Linked DNA regions of Arabidopsis thaliana. The protein of the gene in region 1 interacts with the protein of each later gene in a pairwise test. Each region holds a gene or a part of one and is shown in the gene's direction. Other genes may lie near its edges.

Region 1 (7,855 bases):
TTTTTGTTTAAGTATTTCTCCTATAAGTTTATAAGTTATGCTTCTAGCGATTGATAGTACTACAGCTCTTCTTACAGGGTTAGTCTAATTTCAATTTCCTTGTTGATCATTGTCATATCATTATTGTTCCCTTGGTGACCTTAGTAACAGAAACTAGTCAGTATTCTTTGCAAGGTACAATAAACATAAACTGAAGTATGTTTTTATTGTTTTGTGATCCTTGTTAATTCATATTCACCACAATCATATATTTGGAAGTCCCCCAATCTCTTTGTAATGTCTTTACATCATTTTGCAGGGATTTGTGATAGTGTCAACAAGCATCTTGTGTAGTTGCCTAGTTGGAAGTCCTCGGTGATTTGAATTGTATTATAAACATCTTGTGTAGTTGCGTGTATTATAAGACATTGTTTTGGAATAATTTAAATTTTTGTTTCTTAAGAAACCAATAGCTCTTAACCATTGGAGTAGAAATTAGTTAAGTTTTTGTTAACTTTTCTTAACTTAGTAAAAGCAATATTTTAATTTAAAATAAGGCTAAGATTCAAAATTAAAAACCAATTGGTTCTAAACCATTGGAGTTGCTCTTATAACTCGAAATTCAAATTTTAGGGGTTTAACAACTTACAAGGTTACAAATAAAGTATCAACATTGATGGGGTTGAGGCAAGAAAAAGGAAATTGTGTGGGGCTACAACTCGACAACCCAATTAAATAAGAAAACTAGGCATGACCATTGTTACGGTTATAAAGTTTCTTTAATCGTAACCTTAACCATTATATATACGGTTAAGATGGTTATATTTAGATACAATTACGGTTGAATACGGTTACAGTTACAATGATTACGGTTAAATATGTTTATGGTTATTCGACTTTTTTATTGCTTTTAAAAATGAAAAGTATGTTTTAGATTATTTTTATATGCGATATTATTTACTTTTTTGAAATTCTTTTCCTGAACATTTGATATATATTTTTGTATTACAAATATTTAAAATTGTATTTTTACGGTTTTAACTATGTTGTTATCTATGTAGTTAATCGTACGGTTCACCGTACTTTTAACTACGAGTTTGATATGGTTACGTTTTATTGACGGGTATAGTTAGTATATTTTTTTTAACTGTAACTATTCCATTTTTATTGTCAACACTTACGGTTATTAACCGTTTTATACGGTTACAGTTTGAAAATAGTCCGGTTACGGCCCGAAATACGGTTACGGTTTAATTTTGGTCATGTCTAAAAAAAACTAACAAATATATGCTAATTTGCGGGTTAGGCAAAAATTATTTTGATCCAAAAATTTCCGAATATCCAAAAATTCGAATATCCAGATTTTTTTGTGATATTTGCGGAAATTCGCTTTGATACATCTAATTATTTTTCTCAAAAAAATTGTTTGACATGATGTCAAAATAAGTTCCAAAAAACAGAACATAACTATTTTTGATATCACTGATCAAGAAAATACCATCAAACTAATTCTAAAAACTAAGGGCATCTCCAACGCAAAAAGATGGTGTGAGTCTCTCAATTATATTTTTTAATCAGTTAATAATAAATAAATCATTTATTTAAATTTTAAATTATAAATAAAAAAATCTGACCAATCATAAAGACACAAGTATTAAAGTGGGTTTCTCATATGAGAAACGTATCTCTTTCTCTTTCCACCTTTTTCATTACTTTTTATTTTTTTAATCTTCAGTTACTCATTGAGAAACTGTTGTTGGAGATGACCTAAAACCTGATAGTTTAAGATACCACTAACATGAAAGAAAAATGATCAAACTTACATCTTAACATAAAAACACAAGATTTCCAAAGAAGAAAAATACTGAAGTTACAAATATAAACCCAAAAATATATAAATATACAAACTATATTATGATATTTATATATATACATAATTATATATTCTAATATATATATATATATATATATATAAAATACGAATCAAAGCGGATAATATTTGTTATTTGCATCGATTTTTACGAATATTATATTTTCCTATTTGATTTGCTTGAAAATCTTACGGATATTCGGATTTTTGAATCAAATCAAATAAAAAACTGAGTCGAAACGGATCTAATGAATATTTTGTTCGGGCCTAGCTCTAAAAATTGTCTCTCTTTAATATGATGCGAGTCTTCTGTAATATGATACAGATTTTTTTACTTATATCCTATTAAAATAGTATAAATTAGGCGATGGTATCACTTTTCCCACTATTTTCTACATTTTATGCAGTAAGAAATGGAACAATTCTTTGTAGTACATAAAGACGATTTGTCCAGTTTATTTTCTTCTTACTAGCATTTTAATTGCACATGCTTTTTAATTTTGCATGCTAGTTTAATTTATTAATTATTCTAACGAATACTATATATCTAGAATCCAATTGCTTAATGATGTCTATTGTAGTTTGCTAACGACGTCTCTTTAATTCTCTCATTTTTTTTCTTCTAAATTTCCTCCACCAATTATTCCGTACTCGTTCTTCTCCATACATTCCCACTTAAATAATGTGGAAACCTGTAAAATAGGGAAGACAATAAATTGATAAAAAAAACAAAATTAATATTTTTTAAAAAATAACTCACCGGATTTGTCTACACTCTTATCTACTATTTTCGCATGCTCGTCAATGGCAACATCATCCCTTTCCTTTTCATTCTCTCTATCTCTTTGACTTCATTTTTATTGTCTCTTCTCTTTTGAAATTGAAATTCTGATACCAAACACATACTAAAAAATAAAAATAAAAAGATAATCATCACGGTTTTAAGTAATGGCTGGAGGTGGTGGTGGAGGAGGTGGCGAAGGTCCAAGACAGCTAGACCAGACCCCGACTTGGGCCGTTTCTACAGTTTGTGGTGTTATCATCTTGATCTCCATTATTTTGGAACTCATCATTCACAAAGTCGGCGAGGTGATTTGATAGAGAACACCATTATACCTTATGGATGTATATATGCTTTGCATTTGCTACTTTTTTGGTTACACTTAATTCCATGCTTGTAGGTTTTCGAACGAAAGAAGAAGAAAGCTTTGTTTGAAGCTCTTGAGAAGATTAAAAATGGTAACAATATAGAAATTATTTTTTTTGGTTTCTTGAAATCAAGGAACAATTGTTTTCGTTCATATATATATATATATATATATATATATATATATATATATTTTCTTTATTAATTTAAAGACGATAATACAAATATATCAGTGAGCACACAGATTGAAGCTCTACAAACCACACAACCAATATATGAGTTTAACAAAGTAATCAAAAAAGTGAAAAACACGTTGATTTCCGTAATAGATAAGCCTCACACGCTAACAGAATAAATCAATCTGTTATTTTCTTTGACCGTCTTCGTCTTCAATCTATTTTGGTCTTCTGGTTGGAGTGCTATCTTTTCTTTTATGTAGTGAAGATGGAATTTTTCGTGTGGTTAGCGTATGGTTAGGGATGTAACTGATGGATCGTATCCCTATTATTTTCATGAAAAGTTTTGGTTCCTATATATATATATTTAACTCAAAATTATGTTACATATTGTAGAGCTTATGGTTTTGGGATTTATTTCCCTGCTTCTAACATTTGGCCAAAACTACATTGCGAGCATATGTGTTCCATCAAGATACGGCCATGCAATGTCTTTTTGTGGTCCATATGATGGACCTAGTGAAGATGATCGTAAAAAGCTCAAGAAAACAGACCATGCAATGCGTATTCTCTACTCTGTTCAACGTCGTTCTTTGGCCGACGCTCCTCCAGTAAATTGCAAGAAAGTAATATTAACTACTGTTTCAGCATAAAAGTTTTAAGTAGTTTTATTAACTTATTATTTTGTTATCGTTTCAGGATTATGTCGCACTTATATCATTAAACGCATTACATCAAGTGCATATATTCATATTCTTCTTGGCCGTGTTCCATGTTATATATAGTGCTATAACCATGATGCTTGGAAGAGCCAAGGTATATTGGTAGAAATTTTTCACATTGTATATATGTGTTGATGATGATTTTAATTGAACTAATTCGTTTTTTCGTAAACATAGATTCGTGGCTGGAAAGTATGGGAGCAAGAGGTCATCCATGAACAAGAAATGATGAATGGTAGAGTGAACTTTATATTTTGCATGGTGATCAAAATTTTACTGTCCTAGCTAATCAAAATTTTACTGTCCTTGCTATTTTTATTTTTTTAATACAGATCCATCAAGATTTAGACTCACACATGAGACATCATTTGTCCGAGAACATGTCAATTCTTGGGCTAGCAATAAATTCTTCTTCTACGTTGTACGATTTTCTTAAATTCTAAGTGTTATTCTTGCACAATTATCATCTCTAATCTAATGGAACTAGAGGTTAATTTTCAGATGTGCTTCTTCCGTCAAATACTTAGATCAGTGAGGAAGTCTGATTACTTGACAATGCGACATGGATTCATAAGTGTGAGTGCATTAATATCTTACATTAATTCTCCATTAATATCCAATTGTTTGTTGCTCTAAAACCCTATGTATTTAGGTTCATTTGGCACCTGGTATGAAGTTTGATTTTCAAAAGTACATCAAAAGATCTTTGGAAGACGACTTCAAGGTGGTTGTAGGAATAAGGTAACTCATATCCTCTTTCACATTTTTAGTCTAGTTTGCTTTATTTGTTTCTAATGAAATCTACCACTGATGATGACAGACCCGAGCTTTGGGCCTTTGTAATGTTGTTTTTACTCTTCGATGTTCACGGTTAGTCTTTAGTTTATCGTACTTCTACATTATGATATCTTGACTTACTAATAATTGATCTATATATAAAAACAAAAAACTTTATAGGATGGTATGTTACTGCCGTAATCACCATGATTCCTCCTCTAGTAAGTCATTAATTTATCTACTATACGAAGCTCATTCTTACTTCAAAAAGATTAAAGAACATTTTATGAACTAATTGTGGTTTATGTTTAAAGTTAACACTAGCCATAGGAACAAAGCTACAAGCCATTATATCGTACATGGCATTGGAGATTCAAGAGAGACATGCAGTAATTCAAGGGATGCCAGTTGTCAACGTCTCAGACCAACATTTTTGGTTTGAAAAACCCGATCTAGTACTTCATATGATCCACTTCGTTCTGTTTCAGGTGAAAATTTATATAAGTGAATGATATATGTGATGTTTTAGTGATCCGAATCCGACACCATCCGAACCAAAACCGAACCGAATAGTCGTATAATCCGAACGGATAACAAACTCCCTCATCCGAATTATCCAAACTGAATCCGAACCGAAATCCGAATGCCTAAGCCTATGATTTAGTATAATTACTGATTTTATTTTTTTGGATACTTTTCAGAATGCTTTTGAGATAACTTATTTTTTTTGGATATGGGTAAACTTTTCAGAATCTCTTCTTCTAGTTTTTACTTTATGTTGGTACTAATTGCTTCTAGAAATTTTTATAATAATGTTATAATTATTCTTGTTGCAGTATGAGTTTGGGCTAAGGTCCTGTTTTCATCACCATTTTGGCCTTATAATCATTCGTGTCTGCCTAGGGTGAGTAATAGTATTATCATAAACAATTTTTTTTACCAAGTTTTCGATCGAGTTTGTGAAAATTGAATATATGGTCTTGGCTTTAGGGTGGGAGTACAATTCCTATGCAGTTATATCACATTGCCCCTTTACGCTCTCGTCACTCAGGTATGCAACATTTATATATCTTTTTTTCTTCCTTTGAATGTTTTCATAGAGTTAGTTGTTTTATCATTGCATAATTCTTTTACAATATATATTTTATAGATGGGATCCACAATGAAGCGATCAGTGTTTGATGAGCAAACTTCAAAAGCATTAGAACAATGGCATAAGAAGGCGAGGAAAAAGAATGAAAAGTGAGAATAATTGGCTTCTCCTTTTAATCTATGGATAGACCAAATTTAACAGTCTAATAGTTTGGTTACTTAATAGTCTATACACAATTTTTGGAAAATAGGATTTAGCTATGTAATTATTATTTATTATATAAATTCCTTACGTGGGTTTAATTTTTGAGTTGATTTTTTCTCTACATGTTTATCATGTCCTATTTATAGTTTTGTACAAAATAGTTTTGGAAAGGTAGAATTTTTATGCATTTGTACACTTTAGAGTTAATATATAAAAGACTTTCTTAGAAAAGAAAACCAGAAAAAAACAATACATAACATTAGGGAAAATTAGTTGAACCAATTCCTGAAATTTAAAAATTTGGTAAAAAGACATTTGACTAATGTTTGTTGCAGGTAAAATTTGAAACTCTTAAAAAATAATATACAAAACATAAATAAACAAATGCATCTTATTGTATAGTATGAATACCTCCAAGATCAACTAATGCAATTTCACATCAGGGTTCCTTATAGATTTAAGCCACATATCCGCCATTACTCTAGATGACAAGCTCCACAACATCTCCTCTTCTTCTTCTTCCTTCTCCTTCTTCTTTATATTACTCTTCTTCTTCCCTTTCTTTCCCATTCCGTGTTCCACAAGCCATTGCGCCGCGGTAAGCCTCCGCTTCTCCGCCGCATCTTTCTTCACTCCCCCAATGTGCAAACTTCCTACCTTTAACCCTTTCTCCTCCTCCTCTTCCGCTTGTACTGCTACCACAACTGTCCCTCCTACAGCCTCATATCTCCTTGTCGGGTCACGGAGCTGTACTGTCGCCAAAACCGTTAGCTTTTGCTGTGTGCGATGCTCCTTTTGCCATTCTTCCAGCGGAATGGTCGATTCAAGTGGATTCTTCTGACCTTTCGCAGCCGAAACCTCGAAAGGAGCTTCATCATCCACCATGTCAGCTTGAATCTTAAGTCCTTCAACAACCATTTCCTCTAGTTTCTGTAAAGAGACGGCTAAAACCTCCTCTGCCGAAGTCAATGGATTCTCCTCCACATTCCATATACCGGTCATTATTCTCTCCCTTCTTCCGCTGCTCATCGCGTTAGCCATTGTTTTAACAGCTGCGACAGTTCGCGCTGCGCTCGTGTTAGCTCTCTCTTTGTTCCTCCCTTGTATAATCGCTGACGCTATTCCTTCAAAAGCCACTTGCTCCCCTGTTTTCCCCATTAGCTCATCTATCGCCATAAGCGAAGATATCTTTGACTCTAGTTCCTCACCCGAACCCGCCATTCTATGAAATAGCTCGAATCCAGTGGCTGGTCCGGCTTCTGGTAGTACCTGTAATAAAGATTTCAGATTCCTGTTGTTGTAGGATTCTTTTGATTATGTAAATATTAATTCAGGCCTTACCACAATCTGTTTGGAGATTTGCATAACAAGCTTAGGAGTGTCTTTCCTCATGACCACCGTGTCGAAAGGGTTCATAGAGACTAAGTAACCACCGTCTCGTGTCTGAACAACGCAACCAATGCCTTTACCGAGATCCGAGAGGTAATTCTCCGATTCATCGTCTACGGATTCGCCAGACCGCAGTTCAGAGATGTCCATTTTGTGCTGATAAAATTTCAGCTTCTCGGTTTCTTCATCCTCAAGTAACTGAAGAAACTCCTTTGTCACAGTTTGTTCCTCTTCATCTAGCCTTTGTGACTCTGTTTCACCATCACCTCCATCACTCTCGTCTTTCATCATCGATTCAAGCGCTTTGATCTGCTTTGCAATTGAATCAAGCTCGGTGAGTCTCATTATGTGCCGTGGATCATCAACATTAACATGTTGTTCCTTCATCTCAACAGATCTTTCACCTATGGTTCCATCAGATTTCTCAGTTTCCAAGTCATCATCAAACTCAACTCCTTTATCCACAACTTCAAAATCTGGTTCCTCTTGATCATCTTC
Region 2 (8,472 bases), on another chromosome or scaffold:
TAAGGCAAAAGTAGAAGGTTCGATCGTTGAGCAATACATCAATGAAGAAATTTCTACTTTTTGTACTTATTATTTTGATCGACACATCAAGACAAAAAATCGAGCAGGAGATCGACACTATGATGGTGGTAATCAAGAAGATACACATGAGTTTGATGGAGTTCCAGATATATTTTCTCAGGCAGGAAGAGACAGTGGGAAAGAAAGTGAGATATGGCTCCAAGATAAAGATTACCATATCGCACATAGATATATTTTGCGGAACTGCGATCAATTAAGACCATTTGAAAGGTATGACAAAATAATTTGGACATCTGTATGGATTTTGTTTTTTTTTGTAGAATTAGTAAAAGACATTGTAAATATTTTTCATGGTTATATATGTATATATAGGTTGTTTGATGAGAGCTTGATCGCGGCTAATCCTGGGATAAGTGAAAAAGATCTAAATGAGCTTAGAGAAAAGCAATATTCAAGCTGGTTAAAAAAATATGTAAGATATTTTTTTTTTATATGAGATAAATACTTGATAGCTTATAATATAGTATGTGTCTTTTTATATTGAATCAGGTGGAGGATACTTGGAAGGATAATTCATATCCAGAGTGGTTGTTGAGTATTGTTCATGGTCCAATGGTTAAAGTTACTTGTTGGCCAATGTATTTTTGTCGTGGATACATATTTCATACATATGATCATGGAAAGAACAAAAAGAATGCCAATTATGGAGTTTGTGTCAAAGGTACAACATCTTCTAGCTCAAATGAAGAAGCTGATTTCTATGGAATATTGAGAGAAATTTATGAGCTTCATTATCCTGGACATGTTGATCTCAAGGTCGTGGTCTTCAAGTGTGATTGGTATGATTCAAAAGTTGGGAGAGGTATACGAAGAAACAAGTCAGGGATTATTGATATTAATGCTAAAAGGCATTATGAAGAGTATGATCCTTTTGTTTTGGCTTCACAAGCAGATCAGGTATGTTATGTTCCATATCCACGGATGACTCAGCCGAGAAAAGATCAACAATGGGAAGCAGCAATTATGATACAACCGAGAGGGAAAGTATTGATAACAAAAATCTGGATTTCACTGCAATGCAGCATGATAACGATGATTCTATTGTTGAAGTTGATTCATTACAAATCGAGACACTATCATATCTAGATGCCCAACCAGAAGATCTTGATGATCCAGTAGTAGAAGCCGAAGATGGATCAGATGCTGAAGATGGAAATTCTGATATCGAATTAACTAGTGACGAATCCGAATAATTTTTTTTTTCATTTGGACTTTTTACAGCTTTTTTTGTATTATCAAAAACATTGTTTCCAAAACTGAAGAAGTTTTTTTATTTAATTTTTTGTTCACAAGTTTTTATTTTTGTATTAAAATTGGTAACACTTATGTCACAATCTATGACCAAACGCAAAAGTCACTAAAACAGTGACAAATTGTGTCATCGTTGTTACAAAATTCTCGTAACTATACATGACATAAATTCAGTCACAATTATCGTATAATTTAGTTACTATATTTGGTCGCAAATCCGTACTTATATTTATGACTATATAATTTGTAACAAATTTGACATAATTAGTGACAAACATTAGTTACATTCAATTAAGTCATAATATTATAACGAAATAGTAACGTTTTTATGACCAAATAAATACGTCACAATTTTGTATGAAAATGGTCACAATTTTCTGACGAAAATAATGACCGTAATTTTTTCGTAAGAATATCGATTTCTGACCAGACGCTCTTCAATATCCGTTAGTAGTTGTGACACTTGAATGTGGTTTTGGACATGTCACCAGAAACTTGTCTTCAAGTGGTCTAACTGGAACCATGGCTGCTGCGATTCAAAATCTTACGCAACTAGAAACTCTGTAAGTAAGCTTGAATAATATACATACCGTTGCGTTTAAAAAAGCTACTCTCCAGCGACCGTGTTTCCAGCACTCCAAATTCATTATTTTCTGTTTAATGGGCTGATAAAACCCATGTTTGGCCCATAACAATTATTTCTGTTATTATAGCAACGTTGAAAAATATACATACCGTTGCGTTTAAAACGCTACTCTCCAGCACTCCAAATCGCCAATCGCGTTCTCAAACAGTGCTAATCGCCGATGAAGAGGTCTCATTGTCATCGCCGTCCTTCTCACGACGGGAGATTTCGCTGCCGTATATGGCCGATTTATCTCCGGAGATTCCTCACATTCGTCCTCCTCCTCACAAAAGTTATTGGGCCGGCTCAAAGAGATGGAATCAAAATTCTCTCAGTTTCATGGCCGGAAGGTAATTTCTCAGTTTATGATGTAACTGAAAATCCTTTAAAAATTTGAACTTTATGATTTTAGATATCTGATAATGGCGTCTTTGTCTTGAAATTTGTTTCTTCATGTTGACCCACTTCTCTTTAGATAATAGTCATTGTTGATAAATGTGAATCCTCTGCTTTGTGATTAGAAGCTGTTCTTGTCGATGAAGACGTCAAAATGTGTATTAATTAGTGATAAATTATCCGATATGATTCAATCAAAGTCACTGACCACTAGAAAGTCAAATCTCTTGCTTTCTCTCTGTGTGAACATTTTTTAATGCGTTAAAAGAGTGGTGACTGTAAAACCCTCTATTGACATATTCTCTTAAAAACACAGAAGTTGCATATTATTTTTTCTAAATACAAGTTGCATATATTCTGACATTCTTGGGACAAATCAAATTTGTAATTGTAAAGTTGCAATAGAAAACACATTTACTCATTCGTTTCACTGACTCAGGACATCTTGCCATGTTGCCAGAGGCTTGGACTGTTTCTTGGGTTTATCTATTTATACGCTGTGTTTCTCTCAAACTCTGGCATTGGTAAGGTTTTGATATCTAAAAGCAATTATGGATAGTCCTTGTTGGCTTTTGCTGCTGCTATTAGGAGCTTTTGCCATTATTGGTTGTGTTCAAGCTCAGGATCAACAAGGTACCTAAATCTTAATGGTTTATATGTATATTACACTACTACTTCTTACTGATTCGAGTCTTAGTTATGTTTGTATCTGAGATGCTTTTGATTTTTCACTCTCTTAACAGAGTTTATCAGTTTGGATTGCGGGTTACCCATGACTGAACCGTCTTCTTATACTGAGTCAGTAACCGGACTACGGTTCTCGTCTGATGCTGAATTCATCCAGACTGGTGAAAGTGGTAAAATCCAGGCGAGTATGGAGAATGACTACCTTAAGCCGTACACGAGGCTGAGGTATTTTCCAGAGGAGAGAAGGAACTGCTATAGTTTGAGTGTTGACAAGAACAGGAAATATTTGATCAGGGCTAGGTTCATTTATGGGAATTACGATGGTCGTAACTCTAACCCGATATTTGAACTGCATCTAGGACCTAATCTGTGGGCAACTATAGATTTGCAAAAGTTTGTGAATGGTACAATGGAGGAGATCCTTCACACTCCAACATCAAACTCTTTGAACGTTTGTCTTGTTAAGACAGGGACAACTACACCCTTGATCTCAGCCTTGGAATTACGGCCATTAGGAAATAATTCTTATCTCACAGATGGTTCTTTGAATCTTTTCGTTCGGATATATCTCAACAAGACAGATGGCTTTCTTCGGTAAGTGTTTTTTTTTTGGTTAACAGTGATGGATTCTATATTCCTATACTCTTTATTTTTAACATTCCTATACTTATTCAAGGATAATACAACCTTTGTTCCACATAGGTACCCGGATGATATTTATGATCGCAGATGGCATAATTACTTTATGGTGGATGATTGGACCCAAATTTTCACCACTCTCGAAGTGACCAATGATAACAATTATGAACCACCAAAAAAGGCTCTTGCAGCGGCTGCCACGCCTTCTAATGCCAGCGCGCCATTGACAATCAGTTGGCCACCAGACAATCCTGGTGACCAATATTACTTGTACAGCCACTTCTCTGAGATACAAGATTTACAGACCAATGATACCAGAGAATTTGACATATTATGGGATGGAGCTGTTGTTGAAGAAGGTTTCATCCCTCCAAAGTTAGGGGTGACTACTATCCATAATCTTTCTCCAGTGACATGCAAAGGAGAAAATTGCATTTACCAGCTAATAAAAACCTCGAGGTCAACTCTTCCTTCTCTACTTAACGCTCTTGAAATCTACACAGTTATCCAATTTCCACGGTCGGAAACAAATGAAAATGATGGTATGTTACTTATCTTCATTGTTATGCAGATACAGTCTGTTTTTTTTTTTTAACTAGAGAAATCAACTTCACCTGCTAATTCTCACATCCTTGAGCTCTACATCAGTGGTTGCTGTTAAAAATATCGAAGCTGCCTATAAATTGAGTAGAATCAGGTGGCAAGGAGATCCTTGCGTCCCTCAAAAGTATGCGTGGGATGGTTTGAACTGTAGCAACAACACAGATGTTTCTAAACCTCCAAGAGTATTATCCTTGTAAGTCGTAAGATCCAAGATATGAACATGCACACTTTGACACTTATCTTCAAAATAAGTTAACTATCATGCTTTGGAATCACCAGAAATTTGTCTTCGAGCGGTTTAACTGGAATCATTGCGGCCGCAATTCAAAACCTTACACATTTAGAAAAACTGTAAGTATGGCCATAGTTAATATTGGTTTTGTTGATGGAGGAAAACCTAATGAGCTCTACTTTATTTTGGAAATAAACTTTTAGGGACTTGTCAAATAACACACTAACTGGAGTGGTGCCGGAATTTCTAGCCCAGATGAAATCGTTGGTGATCATGTAAGTTGCTCAGCATATTTTCGTTTACTTTCAGTTCTCCTTTGGTTCATGTGTCTGTATGCATGAAGATTGCTCTTCTTTAATAGAAACTTAAGCGGCAACAATCTTAGTGGTCCCCTTCCTCAAGGTCTTCGAAGAGAGGGACTAGAATTACTGTAAGAAACTTCCCACGTACTTTTTAATATTCCACAGTTATTTTCCACAGCCCTTTTGTGATTTGATGTTTTTAACAACACTCTTTTTCTTGCAGAGTTCAAGGCAACCCAAGGCTTTGTCTCTCTGGTTCCTGCACAGAAAAAAACTCGAAGAAGAAATTCCCGGTGGTGATTGTTGCATCAGTTGCTTCTGTGGCCATAATTGTTGCTGTGTTGGTTATTATTTTTGTTCTCAGTAAGAAAAAGTCATCTACTGTGGGAGGTAATTTGCAGGAGATCTCTCATCAAATCAAGAAACTGCAACAAATCGATGAATTCTTACATACCCTACTTTTTTTCTTTCTTATCTATAGCTCTACAACCTCCACTGAGTATGCCAATGGTTCATGATAATTCACCTGAACCATCAATCGAGACGAAAAAGAGAAGGTTTACTTATTCAGAGGTTATCAAAATGACGAATAATTTTCAAAGAGTTGTAGGGGAAGGAGGATTCGGTGTTGTTTGTCATGGTACTATAAATGGTTCTGAACAGGTGGCTGTTAAAGTTCTCTCTCAATCATCAAGTCAAGGATATAAGCATTTTAAGGCAGAGGTATGCATAATCTTCTTAAAAATATGACCATCTAACGCTTTCTCTTACTTTTATTTCCCATGAATGATTAGGTTGATCTTCTTCTACGAGTTCACCATACAAATTTGGTGAGTCTTGTTGGATATTGCGATGAAAGAGATCACTTGGCTCTCATCTATGAGTTTTTGCCCAAGGGAGACTTAAGACAACATCTATCTGGTAAACTTGAATTTCTTCATGATTCGAAAGTGTATATATGTTTCAACGTTCCCAAGGATCTAAAGAATCAAGTATTCAGGAAAAAGCGGTGGGTCCTTTATCAACTGGGGTAATCGTCTACGAATAGCTCTGGAGGCTGCACTAGGTTCGTAAGCTTATTAGCCAATATTGGCAGCTTAAAATGACTTTCCTTCTGGTGGACTAACAAATAATCATTCCTTTGAATAGGATTGGAATATCTACATTCTGGATGCACACCACCAATTGTACATAGAGATATAAAAACGACAAACATATTGCTGGACGAACAGTTAAAGGCCAAGCTTGCCGATTTCGGCCTTTCGAGATCTTTCCCTATTGGAGGTGAAACACATATTTCAACTGTGGTTGCTGGTACTCCTGGATACCTTGATCCTGAGTAAGTGTCGTTAGTTACCATTACAATGTGCTGAAAGTGAGTTGTCATTTTGCACTTTATATATTGGTTAGAGAGTATAACCATGTACTTTTGCCGTGCAGATATTACCAGACAACTCGACTGGGTGAGAAGAGCGATGTGTACAGCTTCGGAATTGTGTTATTGGAGATTATCACAAACCAACCTGTGATTGACCAGTCCCGTTCAAAGTCTCACATATCACAATGGGTTGGATTTGAGCTTACCCGAGGAGATATTACTAAGATCATGGATCCAAACCTGAACGGGGATTACGAATCTCGTTCTGTATGGAGAGTTCTTGAACTGGCAATGTCGTGTGCGAATCCTTCTTCTGTGAACCGACCAAACATGTCCCAAGTTGCTAATGAACTGAAAGAATGTCTTGTTTCTGAAAACTTGAGGGAAAATATGAATATGGACTCTCAGAATTCTCTTAAAGTGAGCATGAGCTTTGACACAGAGTTGTTTCCGAGGGCAAGGTAGTATGTGCTGCAGGTAACACAACCATGCTAATTAGTTGGGCTATTGGTCATGTTTGCTTTGATCATCCACATGCCAAGATCATATACCCTGTTACTTGGTGATGTTTTCATTATTTTATGTGTGCTTAGTGATGTTTTCATTCTTTGTATGTGTGGCTTGGATGCTAATAATCATTGACCGTAAAAGAGTATACCTCTTTGTGGTTCCATCATTAACAAACAAATGATTTTGGTTAAATATTTGTAAAATGGTTGGAAGAGTATTGATTTAAAACTGTCAAATAGTATATAAAATTAAAGAAACAGATTATGGATTGTGATTTCTCAACATACATTTATCTGTACTCTGAAATTATTAGGCTCACCATTCACTTAAGGCTATGTCAAATATAATTGATGTGATAGTTTATTGCTTAACGTGCTTCTGGGTCTGCTCCATATCTTCCATGATTGAGTTCATGATAGTGATGTTGGGACTTTGCTGTCCTCTTTTTCTTATTCATTTTGTTGAATAGAAAATGCATTTACTCATTTCTTTTGGCTTGGCAAAGTCTTTCTTTCGGCTTTTACATTTTCTTCCTAGCCAAATGGTTTTCTTGATTTTTCCTTGGAAGGTTAGAGAAGATGATTATATGAAGAATTCTCTTGGCCTTTTGTTCCTGCTAGTCTCCATCATTCATATTGTTCGAGCTCAAGACCAACAAGGTATCAGAAACCTTTTTTTTCCCTTTTAAACACATTCTTTTACAAACTTTTTGGTTCTCAGAAGTGCATTGTTTTAAAGAATAATCTTTATAAATGTCTGCCAACAGGATTCATCAGTTTGGATTGCGGACTCCCTGCGAATGAACTGTCTCCTTATGAAGAGAGTTTCACTGGACTGCGGTTCTCTTCGGATGAAAAGTTCATACGTAGTGGAAAAAACGGTCGAATCCGAGAAAATCCTCAGGGATACGCTAAGCCGTACGCTGAGATATTTTCCAGATGGAATAAGGAACTGCTACAATCTAAACGTTGAGAAGGGCAGGACACATTTGATTGTGGCTAGGTTTGTATATGGAAATTATGATGGTTTTGACCTTAAGCCAAAGTTTGATCTGTATCTTGGACCTAATCTATGGGCCACGGTGGATTTGCAAACAGAAGTTAATGGTACAGCGGAAGAGATCTTACACATCCCAACATCAAACTCTTTGCAGATTTGTCTTGTTAAGACTGGGGAAACTATACCGCTAATATCGGCTTTGGAATTATGGGAAATGGTTCTTATATCACTAAGTCTGGTTCCTTGAATCTTTTATCACGAACATATCTTAGCAAGTCAGGATCTGATCTACGGTAAGTTAACTTCAACTGATCATTGTTTGTTCTTTCTGCTCTGTTTCAATACAAGGGTTGTTTTCATTGACACTTAGAAAAGGTCATACATAAGGTTTTAAGGCAATCAATATGATCATTTTTTTTTGTTTTACTACTAAAACAACATTGTTTCCCACCCCCAGCTACATGAAAGATGTATATGATCGCACATGGGTATCATATGGAGCCAGTTTTCGGACGGGATGGACCCAGATTTATACCGCTCTTGAAGTGAACAATTCCAACAATTATGCTCCACCGAAAGATGCGCTAAGAAATGCTGCCACACCGACTAATGCCAGTGCACCATTGACGATTGAATGGCCTTCAGGAAGTCCCAGTCAGGAAGTCCCAGGGACCAATATTACTTGTACGCACACTTTGCTGAGATCCAAGACTTGCAGGCAAATGATACCAGAGAATTCAACATCCTATTTAACGGAGAAGTTTTTTCT
Region 3 (7,098 bases), on another chromosome or scaffold:
ACAATATAAATATTATTATGTACCAAATAAGAAAGAGGGCAAAAGGAAAAAATGGCAGCGTACCCGAGTGTGCCACTTCTCGTGCATGCATGGGATCTTGAAGACAAATGGAGGGTCATGATTAAAGCTGTTTGGTCGGGGTCCGGGTTTTTACTCCATTTTTTGCTTTTTCTTGTCGAGTCGGTTCTTTTATAACTCTTTACTCTTTTTACCTTCAGGATATTGTAGAGATGATTAATTCTGGAAATGGTGTTTGTGTTATATTTCTGGAGAGATGATTATATAGTTCTTTTGTTGTTGTAATTGGTTAATATTACATATGTGGCTCATTTCTTGAGTCGAGCTTACATATCGTTTATAATGTGAATGTTTTAAGAAGAGTTGAATGATACAATATTTTTACACAAACATTGATAATGATAATAAAAATGATAATTAATGTACAAAATTATTTGTAAATATGGACATATGGACAATTTAAGAAGGAATTGAGATAATTAATTTTGTACATTAATTATCATTATCAATGTACAAAATTATTTGTAAATATGGACATATGGACAATTTAATGATAGTAAAAATGATAATTAATGATAATTAATGTACAAAATGATAATTAATGTACATATGGACATATGTACAAAATTATCCATATCATTCACATATTCACATTGTAAATATTTGTAAATAGAATGTTTACATATGGACATTTTAAGAAGAGTTGTTCCTTACCACTTTGATTCTATCATTTTCTTGTTTATCTAGTTAGCTTGAACCCTTTGTATTATTGAGTAACGAAAATCTTTGGAGGAAAAAAACAAGTGAGGTAGGATTATAATTTTCCTCATATAAGTGTGTTGTTTGTGATACATCATTATTCTTTCTTATTTTTGGTTAAACCCAAAAACTGGACCGCACCTAAGGAATTGAGATATTCAAAAAAACAATGATCTGACCCGTGCCAAATATCCACACCACACCTTTCTCCATTCAGGCCCTACTAGAAAGCCGTGAGACGGTTGACAACTTGAAAACAAAAGACTTATAATGAGACTATGAGAAACAAAAAAGAAAGTGGAGTTGATGAAATAATCTGATCTTATGAAAGTGAAGTTGATTACAAAAGGAGCAGCGTGGTAGTTGAATAGTTTCAGATGTTGATAAAGACGTGACATACATAGTTGTCTCAGTAATCTAATCAAGGACTCCTCATGTTTCTAACTTCTTCTTCTATAAAGTTGCATGAGATTTATATCTGGAGAACATATATTGCTCTAATTATGTGGTCTTATTATCATCAATATATGCCTTTTTCTACATATGAATATATGATCGACATGTATAGATATTTTTTGTTGTTCAAAAAAAAAAAATGTATAGATATTTTTTTCATTTTCCAAAAGGATTGAATTTCGAAATGGTGTAGCCACCTTAGAGGTATACAACAATAAATAATTTTCCCGACTTGTAACAAATGTTTGGAACAAAAGTGTCAATTAGAATCAAAGTAACCATCAGATGCCTTTTATAAATTTCTTTATCTATGATTATTTTTTAACCAAATTCAGACACTTCTATATTACTAAAAGCCAAACTTGATATCTATTTCAACAAAAAAATTTTTTTTTAGTCTGCTGTGACTCAGTATATCTAATTGTTTTCACATCATTCATAAACTTTTACTAGTCCATTGTAAAATACAGTATATTAGAAATTGTTTTCCTATCTATATATGCTTAGGTTTAAGAAAACAACTTTTGGCCATGAATATTTGAGTTTTTAAGTGGTTTTGGATTATAGATTTTGCCAAAAGGAAAAAATATTGATTTAAAATTACAAAAAGAAATCTGCAAACAATTATCAAAAACTCATTAAAGTGGGATTTATTTTTCATTTTGTTTACAAAAATGCGAACTCTAATCTTGATTGGATAATTAAATGGGTTTTTGGAAAACCAATAACTATGCTATAAAGTATAAACTACTACCATTCAAGCCTTCTATTTTTCTATGCCAAAAAATACTACGCAAAAAAAATTGAGCGTGTTTGATCCAACAATAAAACAAATTACTCAATCTTGTTTGATGTCAAAATCCAAATCCAAAATATGTTTCGGACACCTGACCGGTCTACTCGATTGACACCCCTGAAATTTCGAAATAGACAATACACAAAAGGACATAGACAACATAACTTCATCTCACTTAGATATTCACATTTCCCATTTTTCAAAATATTGGCTCTTCATTTTCTGTGTACTTCCAACAAATTGTCTTCTAGAGAAACCAAAACTATCTAAGATTTCTCCACCTTCTCCATCATCCACCGTTGATTCACTCATCTCATGTCTCCAATGACTCATCTACGGTCAAGATTCAAGGAGCATGAAACATCCCATGAACCAAATTACACAAAAACATTTACCTTGATAAAAAAACATCATTTTATTATTTTGGCAGAAGAAAAAGTCTTAATTCGAACTTTGAGCGTGCTTATAGTTTAATCAATTAAAGTTATAAAGAAAAGTAACTTTATAAATTCAGGAGTAATCAGTAGATTTATACCATTCTTGTCCATCGCTTTAAGCCACACTTGATCGGACGGTAAGCAATCAATCCGGTTTACACTTTCTGATTATAAAGATTCCAACTTTTGGTTATATCGGACGGTTAATAATCAATACGGTTTGAGTTTAAATCATAGCCGTTGAGATGTTTGACTAAAGTGTTTACAAAGTAGTCAACACTCTCTTTCTGCTACAAAGGACCAGTCTTGAAACTCAAAGTCCTTACCTTTCCCTTCTCTAACCTCTCTTTCTCTTTCTCTGTCTCTTTGTGAGAAATGGGCATGGAAGCTTTGAGATTTCTTCATGTTATCTTCTTCTTTGTGCTAATTCTTCACTGTCATTGTGGAACATCTCTCTCTGGTTCTTCTGATGTGAAGCTTCTTTTAGGAAAAATCAAGTCTTCACTACAAGGAAACAGTGAGAGCTTACTGTTGTCTTCTTGGAACTCCTCTGTTCCTGTTTGTCAATGGAGAGGTGTAAAATGGGTATTTTCAAATGGGTCTCCTCTTCAATGTAGTGACCTCTCTTCACCACAATGGACTAATACCTCTCTGTTCAACGACTCTTCTCTTCACCTTCTCTCTCTTCAGCTTCCTTCTGCTAATCTCACTGGTTCACTCCCTAGAGAGATTGGTGAGTTCTCTATGCTTCAAAGTGTGTTCCTCAACATCAATTCATTAAGTGGGTCAATCCCTCTTGAGCTTGGTTACACTTCTTCTCTCTCTGATGTTGATTTGAGTGGTAATGCCTTAGCTGGGGTTTTGCCTCCATCGATTTGGAACCTCTGTGATAAGCTTGTCTCTTTCAAGATTCATGGTAATAACTTGTCTGGGGTTTTGCCTGAGCCTGCTTTGCCAAATTCGACTTGTGGTAATCTCCAAGTTCTTGATTTGGGTGGTAATAAGTTCTCAGGTGAGTTTCCTGAGTTTATAACTAGGTTTAAAGGTGTGAAGTCACTTGATCTTTCAAGTAATGTCTTTGAAGGTCTTGTTCCTGAGGGTTTAGGTGTATTAGAGCTAGAAAGTCTCAATCTTTCTCATAATAACTTCAGTGGGATGTTGCCAGATTTTGGTGAGTCAAAGTTTGGAGCAGAATCTTTCGAAGGGAACAGTCCTAGCCTTTGTGGTTTGCCTTTGAAGCCTTGTCTAGGCTCCTCTAGGTTAAGTCCAGGTGCTGTTGCTGGTCTGGTGATTGGTTTAATGTCTGGAGCTGTTGTTGTGGCCTCGTTGTTAATAGGGTATTTGCAGAACAAGAAAAGAAAGAGTAGTATAGAGAGTGAAGATGATTTGGAAGAAGGTGATGAAGAAGATGAAATCGGTGAGAAAGAAGGCGGTGAAGGAAAGTTAGTTGTGTTTCAAGGTGGTGAGAATCTGACGTTGGATGATGTTTTGAATGCTACTGGGCAAGTTATGGAGAAGACTAGCTATGGTACTGTCTATAAAGCTAAGCTTAGTGATGGAGGGAATATTGCATTGAGGCTATTGAGAGAAGGTACTTGCAAGGATAGAAGTTCTTGTCTGCCTGTTATAAGGCAGTTAGGACGCATTCGGCATGAGAATTTGGTTCCCTTGAGAGCTTTCTATCAAGGGAAGAGAGGAGAAAAGCTTCTCATCTATGACTATCTTCCCAACATAAGCTTACATGATTTGTTGCATGGTATTTTCTTTCATCATCAATCTTTTTTGCCATGGATCTTTCTTGGTTGATTTTTGTTATTCATGTGTTGTTTGAATGATGTGCAGAAAGTAAACCTCGAAAGCCAGCTTTGAATTGGGCTAGGAGACACAAGATTGCACTTGGAATAGCGAGGGGACTTGCTTATCTTCATACTGGACAAGAAGTTCCTATCATCCATGGAAATATTAGATCAAAGAACGTGCTTGTGGACGACTTTTTCTTTGCAAGGCTAACTGAGTTTGGGCTTGACAAGATAATGGTACAGGCAGTAGCAGATGAGATTGTCTCGCAGGCGAAATCCGACGGGTACAAAGCACCTGAACTCCACAAGATGAAGAAATGCAATCCAAGGAGTGATGTTTACGCCTTTGGGATCCTTCTCTTGGAGATATTGATGGGTAAGAAACCAGGAAAGAGTGGAAGGAACGGTAATGAGTTTGTGGACTTGCCTTCTTTGGTTAAAGCTGCGGTGTTGGAAGAGACGACAATGGAGGTTTTCGACTTGGAGGCAATGAAAGGGATTAGGAGCCCAATGGAAGAAGGTTTGGTTCATGCATTGAAGCTAGCGATGGGATGTTGTGCTCCTGTTACAACAGTTAGACCCAGCATGGAAGAGGTTGTGAAGCAGTTGGAAGAGAACAGACCGAGGAATAGATCCGCATTGTACAGCCCAACCGAAACCAGGAGCGACGCCGAAACTCCATTTTGAGTCTAATTGTGTTCTTCTACAAGCTTTTTTTTTCTTCTGTAATTCCTCACTTTAGTTGGCTATATTTGTTTCCTTGGCAAGAAACCATTCTGATTTGATTTTATCTATATTTGTTGATGAGAAATGGTGTAAGTGTAACAGAAGCAGTTCAAAGTATTAATATTGATAGAAGAATATATGATACATGATGATACACCAAATGAGTAATGAGGCAGAAGAAGAATGCACTGTACTACAATTTTGGAGTTGAGTCGAACAACACTGCGGCTCATCAAAGCTGGCCTAGGTTGACGAGTGGAGGCAGAGAAGAGTCTAAAATGGTAAAAGAGAAAAGAAAGGAGACGATGAAAATGTAAATGACGGGGACGAAGAAAACAAGTTAGTTTTCTTCCTTTGTCTCCCTCAGCTAGTCAGTATCCTCTTCGGTCTTGGGTTTGAGGATTATACAATTAACTAACACCGCATACCGATCCTGCATTTAAGGGCACCGGAGCTGTAGGTAAGCATACTTACTACAGAAGCTGGTTTAGCTCCCAAGCTAGAGGCTCTGGCATAGCTTGCAGGAGCAGCAGCTCCAGATTTAGTGAAGTAGGCACCGTTGAGCATTAGGTCTCCTTGAGATCTCCAGTTCCATTGCTTCCATTCCCCTTGCCATGAACCTACCCTCTTTGTCACCTGCCAAAACCATTACAATATTGAGATTCATCCTTTCTCAATATCTCCTACTCCGAAAGAGAGAAATTAAGGTATACCTCTTTGGCGAAAGGGTTGCCCGGGGCAAGGAAACGATTGCCTTGACTATTGATAGTAGGGTTAGCACTTCCACCAATTGCATACATTACCCAATGAGTATAATCATTGTTTACAACATGGAAATAACCATGTCTACACCTGAAATAACAACAAAAGAATCAGCCCTCCTGATTCTTGTAGCAAACAATCATCGAAAAGAAAACATGAAATGCATGACGAACCTCGGCATTCTCTGTATAAGCCCTTCCCCAAAATGGTTATATGCTATTGTCACTTGCATCAACTTGTCTCTAGTGTACGAATCACTATGCCCCATCAACATAACCTGCATTATCCATCAAGAAACTTCTTCTCAACTCTTTAACACACCCTACACAATTCAGTTCACTATACTAACTAATTTAGCTACTAAATCAACCAAAATCCACTCCAAAAACGTGATTCTGCAGCAAATTCATCATCAGTTCCACTGAATCAGCAAAGAAAGCTAACCTCGTTGTGGTGAGTCATGTAGTTATTGGAGATAGTAATAGCAGTAGATCCCATAATAGCATCAATCAAACCATCAGCACAATTAGACAAAGAGTTATGATCAATCCAAATATGACTCGATCCAAATATCGATATAGCATCACCATCCGCCATAGTCCTCCACCCATAATGCGACGGCGAGCTTCGAACCATAGCATTACCAGTTCTTCTACAATCATGTACATTAATCCCATGGATGATAATATTCGTCACATACTGAATCGTAATACAAGCACCGCCTGCGATTGCAACGTTCACGCCTCTTCCATCGATTGTTTTGAAGCTGTTCATGATTAGCTCTTGAGTTAGAGTAATCACCATGTCTCGCTTGAAGACGATCCATAACGGACGGTCTTGTATCACAGCGTGACGGAGTGTTCCTGGTCGTGGATTAACCGCGTCGTGGTCAGATGGATCTGTGACTACGTAGTAACGACCATCTCGTCCTCCGATAGCGTTACGACCGAATCCGATCGCGCAATTCGCGAGACGCTTTCGTCGGAGATGCCAATTCCGATCACATCTCCAACAGTCGTCTATTGGGTTTCCGGTGGCGCATGAGAAGAATCCTAACCTCCTCCGCTCTGTACTGTTCTTTATTTTCCTGAAAATAACAAAAAGAGAACAGAGTTATTAAATTGTTACAAATTGACCCGTGAAGTTTTTATTTTCCTGAAAATAACAAAAAGAGAACAGAGTTATTAAACTGTTACAAATTGACCCGTGAAGTTTTTGATTTCACATTAAAGCCCTCTTGGAGTTCAAAAATCACGTGGAGGAGAAGAAGGAACCATGTGGTGTAATAAATGTAAACCATTTATACGGAATCATATGATACGGACCATACGGAAACTTTTTTATA
Region 4 (6,551 bases), on another chromosome or scaffold:
CTCAAGTCAGAAGTCATTTTACCTGCATATATAATCGAATGTTGACACTTACTTAACGTAACTCACGGCATAAGTATGATTATACCCTGGCAAGTGGCAAAATCAGAACCCAAAAGACTTTGTACTTACAATTCTTGGAATGTTCATCAGAAGAAGATAAGTTTCTCCGTTTACTTCTTCTGACATCATCTATCGTTTTCTCTTTTTCCAATACATCATCTGCAGATCTCTTGTCCACATACTCCAGACGAAGCTAAAATCAGACAGAGAAAAGTTAAGAGTTAAAAGATTAACAGAAAATTCAATCATTCAGCTATAGTGCTTTCCATTAAACTAACTATAACAAAAAAGGAGAAAGGAACTCACAACAGTCTTTCCATTTCCGGAATCATCATCTTCGATATCACTTTCTTTCAATTTACGTGCATAATGTCCAATATTGCCAGTCTCAACATACCGTGATGCGTCTTTGAAGGATTGAAAGATATACTCACTTTTAGGGTCAATGAAGAACTGCAAAATCAAAAACAAGACATGTCCAAGAAGAATCACATAAGAGATTTTCTAAAGTGAGCTTATGTGGAAAAGACACAAAATGTACTTTTGATCAAAGATGATGTTATCACAAAGAGAGTAGAGGGTACAAACTGGATCTCTTCTGGTTTTACGGCCTGATCTATTTGTTATTTCAAGTTTCTTGATCCATCCTTCAGGTAAACCTTGAGCAGCAGATTTCTCAACTATAACCTGTATCACTTAAACATAAAGAGTTTTTCATTTTAAGAGACGTATAAATGTCAAATCTTTTTAGGGATCACAAAGAACAAAGTAACATTGTCTTCAAACATATAAACAACACAAAACTCTCAGATATTCTGTGCTTATGAACTTTCCATGAACAACCTAATACCAGACCCTTGCCAATATAAATGTGATTCATCTCAAAACTTTCCCTTTGCATACGCGAGAGGTACAAAGTTTTAGTGCTTACGAATATTACAGTATTCTCTCGAAGATGGTTACTTAACAATCCAAATTCATTTTCACAAGATCTATTACTCTTAATGTCTAACCATCTCAGTAAAGTAACCATATAATTCCTTTTCACACGAAGTAAACTAAGAGACAAACTTTTAAAAATTCAAGAAAAACTTAAAAAAAATAAACATCTCCAATCATGCACACAAGTAATAAGAGCTTTCTAAGCCACAGTGGAACCAAGTAAAATCAATTGAGTTCAAAATGTAGCTACATAACAAAGCTTTGATCAAACTACATCATCTATAACAAAACAAAAAGTCAGGTCAAGACCATTTTCAGACACTTAATCAACTAGACCTCTTCTCTTTTGATCACATGTCATCTTTCCCTAAAAGCTAAGCATTGCATGCAAGAGAAAATCACTCAAACGTCACAAAAGACTTCACCTTTTTCCATCATTACAAAATCATACAATCAGAAACTAAGAGTGAATCAAAGTATTTGGCACTTCAATAAAGATAACTACAATTTCCACAAAAGGAGCTAACAAGAACCAAACATGCAAAAGACAATCAAAATTAAGAAAAGGGTTTAAAACTCATAAATCACCTTATCCTTTCTCCCATTCTTCCTCACTCTAATTTCCACTTTCCTCTCAGCCGACAAACCATCAGAGATCCCTTCTCCGTTCATCTCTCCGGTCACCGTAAAACCACTTTCCTCTCTCTCTTGTATCCCTGATTCACAACTCAGAATGGTTTATCAACTCAAAACGCCAAAACCCATCAAGAATTGTCGGATTCAGATAATGGACACCGTCGGAAGTTATAAAGAAGGAACCTTTTTATTTTGTCTGATTGTGTGATTTGGTTCTGTCTCCACTAAGGTAAATAAGAAAAATAGTAGGATTTAATGGGGAAGAAGAAGAAAGGGTTTACACGTGTAGTGTGGAGGAGTTTCAATGGAGATTCCCCGATTTGAGAGGTTCAAGAAAACTCAGTCCACCAGCACGCGAGTCTTCTGGCCCAACGCTTCTCTTCTCTGATTGCAATTTAGCTCATTTTCTCCATTTTATTCTCTTGTACTGTTTGTTGTTTACTTCCATTGTTATTGTCCCAATTTTAAAAAAACTTACACTGTATATTAAAAAACATTTGCTTGATTTGGTTATAAAATCTAATTGCAAATCTATTTATGATGATATTTTTTGGGAAACATTTAAGACTTTGTTATCATTTTTTGACCCAAAAGAAAAAAAAAATGTTATTATTGTAAATGTTAGGATTGGAAGATTTATCATGAGAAGAAAAGTGAAAAATACTAATATAGTCAATTATGAATTTTCATAAATCTGAATTAAATATAATTTATTTTTACTTAATATATAGTTTTAATTACTTTTTGTTTAAATTTATGTTATTAAATTTGGTATTTGTATATCATGTTTAAAAGATTTAGAAGTATGATTTTATTCTATTTCTAGTGATTTAATTATTGAAACTTTGATTTTTAAAAAAGTTTATGTATTAATAAATTATTTGGATTGAAGGTTATATCAATGTTATAAAATGTGTTTTAAAATCTGAAAAGTGGTTGATTTTTTCTTTTTAAATTCTGCATCCACGAAACTTATTTTTCTTAAAACTTATTTTTCTTTTCGAGGTTATGATTCTTTTTAGTTTTTTTTATCAAATTTCATGATGAAAATAACTGAATTGAACATCAAAGATTTTCAGAAAATACTCTACTGCTTTTTTCTTAACTATATTCTAGCCATTTACATATCTAAGCTTGATGTCTTTTCTATTTCGTCGAAAATCTATCTATTTTACGGCAGAGACTTGAAACCCGAATTTTGACATATCAAAAACACTAACACAATCCCATGTACTACATTATCATTTGTATTTTACTTATAGAAGAAAATAACTTTTTATTTAAAAATTGTATGGTAAAAATAAAGATTAGTTCCCTAATAACTATATAAAAAATCTTATTCGGTCGTTTTAGCTGTATTTAACTTTTAAACCCAAGAAAGAAAAAAATCAATCAACCAAGGAAGTAGTACAACAACAAGAGTCAAAACCCAACAACTCTCTATCTAGCACAAAAGCCTGACTTTTACAAAGACAAGCCTTTTCAACACACTACTGATCTTGAGAATCCTCTCTTCAAAGCCATGGCGTTAGAACTATGGCAAACTCTCAAAGAAGCAATCCATGCTTACACAGGTCTTTCTCCTGTTGTCTTCTTCACTGCTCTAGCTCTCGCCTTCGCCATTTACCAAGTCATCTCAGGCTGGTTTGCCTCGCCGTTCGATGATGTTAACCGACATCAGAGAGCTAGATCCTTGGCTCAAGAGGAGGAGCCACCGATTCCTCAGCCTGTTCAAGTCGGTGAGATCACGGAGGAGGAGCTTAAACAGTACGATGGCTCTGATCCTCAAAAGCCCCTTCTTATGGCTATCAAACATCAGATCTATGATGTTACACAAAGCAGGTGAAATTTCTGAATCTAAAAAGCGAAATTAGGTTATGGGTTTGATTCATTGTTTCCTCTAATCTTGTTTTAGCGTATAAAGACTTGGACTTTGCATACTTTTATGATCTATAAAGCTGTGAGAATCGTAAAGTTGTTCACTTTGAGAATCAATTTCACAAAGGAGTTTTGTTTTGAGAATCAATTTCAGAAAAGCACATTGGAAAAGTTGATCCTTTTTGTTACTTTTATACAAGAGAAAGATTCAAAGGAATATGTTTTTGTTGTTGATGTTTGCTAGTGATTGAGATCATGTTGTGAAATATCTTAGCTCTATCTTCGAGTATAATCAATCTCTTAGACTGGTTTTAGTGTCTCAAGTGTTGTGTTTGTAATGAAAGGTTGGATTTTTATTGTCTTCCTCAAATCTCGTTTTACTCTATAACAACTTGGACTTTGCATAGTTTTATCTATGAAGCTGTGATATCCATAAAGTTGTTCACTTTGAGAATCAATTTCACAAAAGTTGTGCTTTTCTATGTAATCGAGCTTTTGAGTGGCATAGTGTTAATTTACCCTTTTGCTTCCTTCATACAAGAACAGGATTCAAAGGAAGTTGTAATATGTTCTTGTTGTTAATGTCTGCTTGTGGTTGAGATCTTTAGTGAAAACTCTTTGTTAATCTTTGAGTATAATGAATTGATCATCTTCTTATGATAGTCTAGTCTGGTTTTTGCGTATTTAAATTAAATGTTGTGTTTGTGATGAAAGGTTTGATATTTATTGGTTTTGTAGGATGTTCTACGGACCAGGAGGACCATATGCTTTGTTTGCAGGGAAAGACGCTAGCCGAGCTCTTGCAAAGATGTCATTTGAGGAGAAAGACTTGACTTGGGATGTCTCTGGTCTTGGTCCCTTTGAGCTAGATGCTCTTCAAGATTGGGAGTACAAGTTCATGAGCAAGTATGCTAAGGTTGGTACTGTCAAAGTGGCTGGTTCAGAACCTGAAACCGCATCTGTCTCTGAACCCACAGAGAATGTTGAGCAAGATGCTCATGTAACCACAACGCCTGGGAAGACCGTTGTTGATAAGAGTGATGATGCTCCTGCTGAGACTGTGTTGAAGAAGGAGGAGTAGAGCCCATTTCCAAGATTTGCTCTGATTTGTCATAGAGACCAGTTTTATGAAAAGGATTGTAGAATCTCTAATGTTGAAGTGTCAATGATAATCTTGTTTTACTTTCCCAAAAAATAAAGATTGCTGATTAATGATAAGAAAAAAATGTTTTATAAACTGCATATCAGAAGGCGTTGCATTGCATGATTACAATGTAGTCGAGTTCATACTTGTGGTTTGTGAATCTGCATGATTAATCTGGAAACTAAAACATTAAACCTGATCCTTTTTTTGTAAATTCTCTTCATCCTTTTGGTTACTACTATAGGAAGTTTTTAAGTTGGTCACTAAATCCATATCAATTGGGAAATAGAGTATTCAATTGTGATCCTCGATGTTTAAGAATTGGGGCAAAGAAGACAGTTGACCACGTTCTTCTGAGTGTTCCTTGCATTGCAGATATGTGCGCTCGATCTCCTCAGCACTATGGAAATTTCGGTGTCGTCGGTATTTGCAAATTTGGATATTCTTTTCTTGGAACAACCTGGCTCTTCAAAAGATTTAACCTTTCCATGGATTATTTGATACATTGGAAGGCACGTAATGATAAGGTTTTTAATGATACATTTGAGAAACTGCACAGCTGCAAGAACATAAGACAAGTACCTTTGAACAACGGTCTTTATTACAAAAACTGGAGTTTGAAGTCACAAATTAATGTTTTATAAAATAGTTCATTTTTTTTGGTAAACATGTGAAGATTTTATAGATAGTTGATGGAAGGAGACTCGATATGTTTTCAAATATAGGTTGGATCGGTTTTCATAACGACATAGAAGGATCTCTTTTTAGAGTTAGGAATCTATGCATAAGCCTTTCTCCTATGATCAAGCATCAAAGTACATCGGTAACTATCTCAATGGACTGTTCAAAGCTAAAAGAAAATTGACAACTTCCTGAACATTTTAGCCAATTTTCTCAACATATTTGGAATGGTTTGCAAGACTCAAATATTTGCTCTCTTCTGGCTTTCTGTTATTCTTGTAATTAGAATTGTCTTGCTAACTTGTTAGCTAGCATGTTGTTCACCACTACATTTTCATTATTTTAAGTATGTAAGACCTATAGTTCTATATACACCATCGATTTGGATTACCGAACCATTTTGATATATGTGTATGTATTTCAGTCGACAAAAAAAAAAAACTTCTAAGATCAGTTTAAACTGAATTTTGGTTATCGCCTTCTCTGCGATCATGGATTGGGTTGGACCTAGACATATGGGCTTAAGATACGTTTTACAAGCTGTCATGATGAATACAATTATTGTCTTAAGTGTCACGAGATATTGAAATCGTCAAAATAAGCCAAACATGCACCAAGATATCAACGCACATGTAGTTATTATATAGCAATAGTATTCTAAACGTAATGAACCGTCGATGTATCGACGTGTACTTTTTGCATTCACTTTCTTTTGTCTTCAAAAATAAAATGAAAATCAGAAATAAAGAGGTGTAATATTATCCACGTAGGAGTTGAGATCTACGACGACCAAACTAATCGTTAGGAAAGGTTTCAAAATTTGAGGTTCTTATCCAACCAACGCTAACGTAATGCTAATCTCGTGTTTCCATTTCTTCTTCCTTTAATGCGATGTCTCTCTGCACCCAATAATTAAAAAAAAAGTTTCTTTACATTTTTTCTTCTAAGAGAATTTTTTTGGCAAGTTGGTGACATGGTGTACTTCCCATACTTATCCATATCCCATTGCTCTAACTTTTTGTTGCTAAAAGCTAACTTAAGGAGTGATGAAGATTATAACTCATAATCAATCTAAAAGATAGACTCTTAACCATTTCTAATCACCACAATGTTCAAAGATCATATTTGGAGCTAGTGGTTATTTAGCCATGTGCATGGTCTTATTTTGATAGATTACCTTTTTGGATTGTTTGAACAAAAACATAAATAC

Evidence for each region.
Region 2: the proteins of MLO9 (region 1) and AT5G59650 interact in a protein complementation assay, tested with the Arabidopsis thaliana proteins (one large-scale study listed by BioGRID).
Region 3: the proteins of MLO9 (region 1) and TMKL1 interact in a protein complementation assay, tested with the Arabidopsis thaliana proteins (one large-scale study listed by BioGRID).
Region 4: the proteins of MLO9 (region 1) and MSBP1 interact in a protein complementation assay, tested with the Arabidopsis thaliana proteins (one large-scale study listed by BioGRID).

The regions. Positions count from the first base shown.
Region 1 is NC_003070.9:15,978,271-15,986,125, reverse strand, and holds MLO9 (Seven transmembrane MLO family protein), read left to right. Parts: upstream 1-2,554; 5' UTR 2,555-2,797; coding exon 2,798-2,938; intron 2,939-3,030; coding exon 3,031-3,088; intron 3,089-3,568; coding exon 3,569-3,798; intron 3,799-3,871; coding exon 3,872-3,988; intron 3,989-4,071; coding exon 4,072-4,129; intron 4,130-4,226; coding exon 4,227-4,315; intron 4,316-4,395; coding exon 4,396-4,470; intron 4,471-4,546; coding exon 4,547-4,635; intron 4,636-4,714; coding exon 4,715-4,764; intron 4,765-4,851; coding exon 4,852-4,892; intron 4,893-4,985; coding exon 4,986-5,159; coding exon of another isoform or gene 5,160-5,183; exon of another isoform or gene 5,184-5,224; intron 5,225-5,372; coding exon 5,373-5,408; intron 5,409-5,507; coding exon 5,508-5,575; intron 5,576-5,661; coding exon 5,662-5,722; intron 5,723-5,821; coding exon 5,822-5,917; 3' UTR 5,918-5,991; downstream 5,992-7,855. Other genes in the region: PMI1 (plastid movement impaired1), read right to left, coding at 6,392-7,237, 7,310-7,855.
Region 2 is NC_003076.8:24,028,442-24,036,913, forward strand, and holds AT5G59650 (Leucine-rich repeat protein kinase family protein), read left to right. Parts: upstream 1-2,904; coding exon 2,905-2,986; intron 2,987-3,096; coding exon 3,097-3,634; intron 3,635-3,742; coding exon 3,743-4,198; coding exon of another isoform or gene 4,199-4,221; intron 4,222-4,280; coding exon 4,281-4,475; intron 4,476-4,561; coding exon 4,562-4,633; intron 4,634-4,717; coding exon 4,718-4,789; intron 4,790-4,875; coding exon 4,876-4,944; intron 4,945-5,039; coding exon 5,040-5,206; intron 5,207-5,297; coding exon 5,298-5,539; intron 5,540-5,610; coding exon 5,611-5,737; intron 5,738-5,816; coding exon 5,817-5,882; intron 5,883-5,965; coding exon 5,966-6,155; intron 6,156-6,256; coding exon 6,257-6,659; downstream 6,660-8,472. Other genes in the region: AT5G59660 (Leucine-rich repeat protein kinase family protein), read left to right, coding at 7,246-7,363, 7,471-7,621, 7,707-7,810, 7,873-7,996, 8,161-8,387, 8,465-8,472. UniProt on the Arabidopsis thaliana protein: Required for accurate photosynthesis.
Region 3 is NC_003074.8:9,000,800-9,007,897, forward strand, and holds TMKL1 (transmembrane kinase-like 1), read left to right. Parts: upstream 1-2,769; 5' UTR 2,770-2,841; coding exon 2,842-4,222; intron 4,223-4,308; coding exon 4,309-4,952; 3' UTR 4,953-5,144; downstream 5,145-7,098. Other genes in the region: AT3G24670 (Pectin lyase-like superfamily protein), read right to left, coding at 5,406-5,627, 5,705-5,843, 5,927-6,030, 6,198-6,840. UniProt on the Arabidopsis thaliana protein: Does not seem to have conserved a kinase activity.
Region 4 is NC_003076.8:21,209,961-21,216,511, forward strand, and holds MSBP1 (membrane steroid binding protein 1), read left to right. Parts: upstream 1-2,979; 5' UTR 2,980-3,160; coding exon 3,161-3,480; intron 3,481-4,254; coding exon 4,255-4,597; 3' UTR 4,598-4,651; coding exon of another isoform or gene 4,652-4,659; 3' UTR 4,660-4,882; downstream 4,883-6,551. Other genes in the region: MBD13 (methyl-CPG-binding domain protein 13), read right to left, coding at 1-22, 130-253, 367-513, 649-747, 1,591-1,674. UniProt on the Arabidopsis thaliana protein: MSBP1 can bind to multiple steroid compounds with different affinities. Negatively regulates cell elongation and brassinosteroid signaling. May act as a coreceptor with BAK1 and enhances its endocytosis.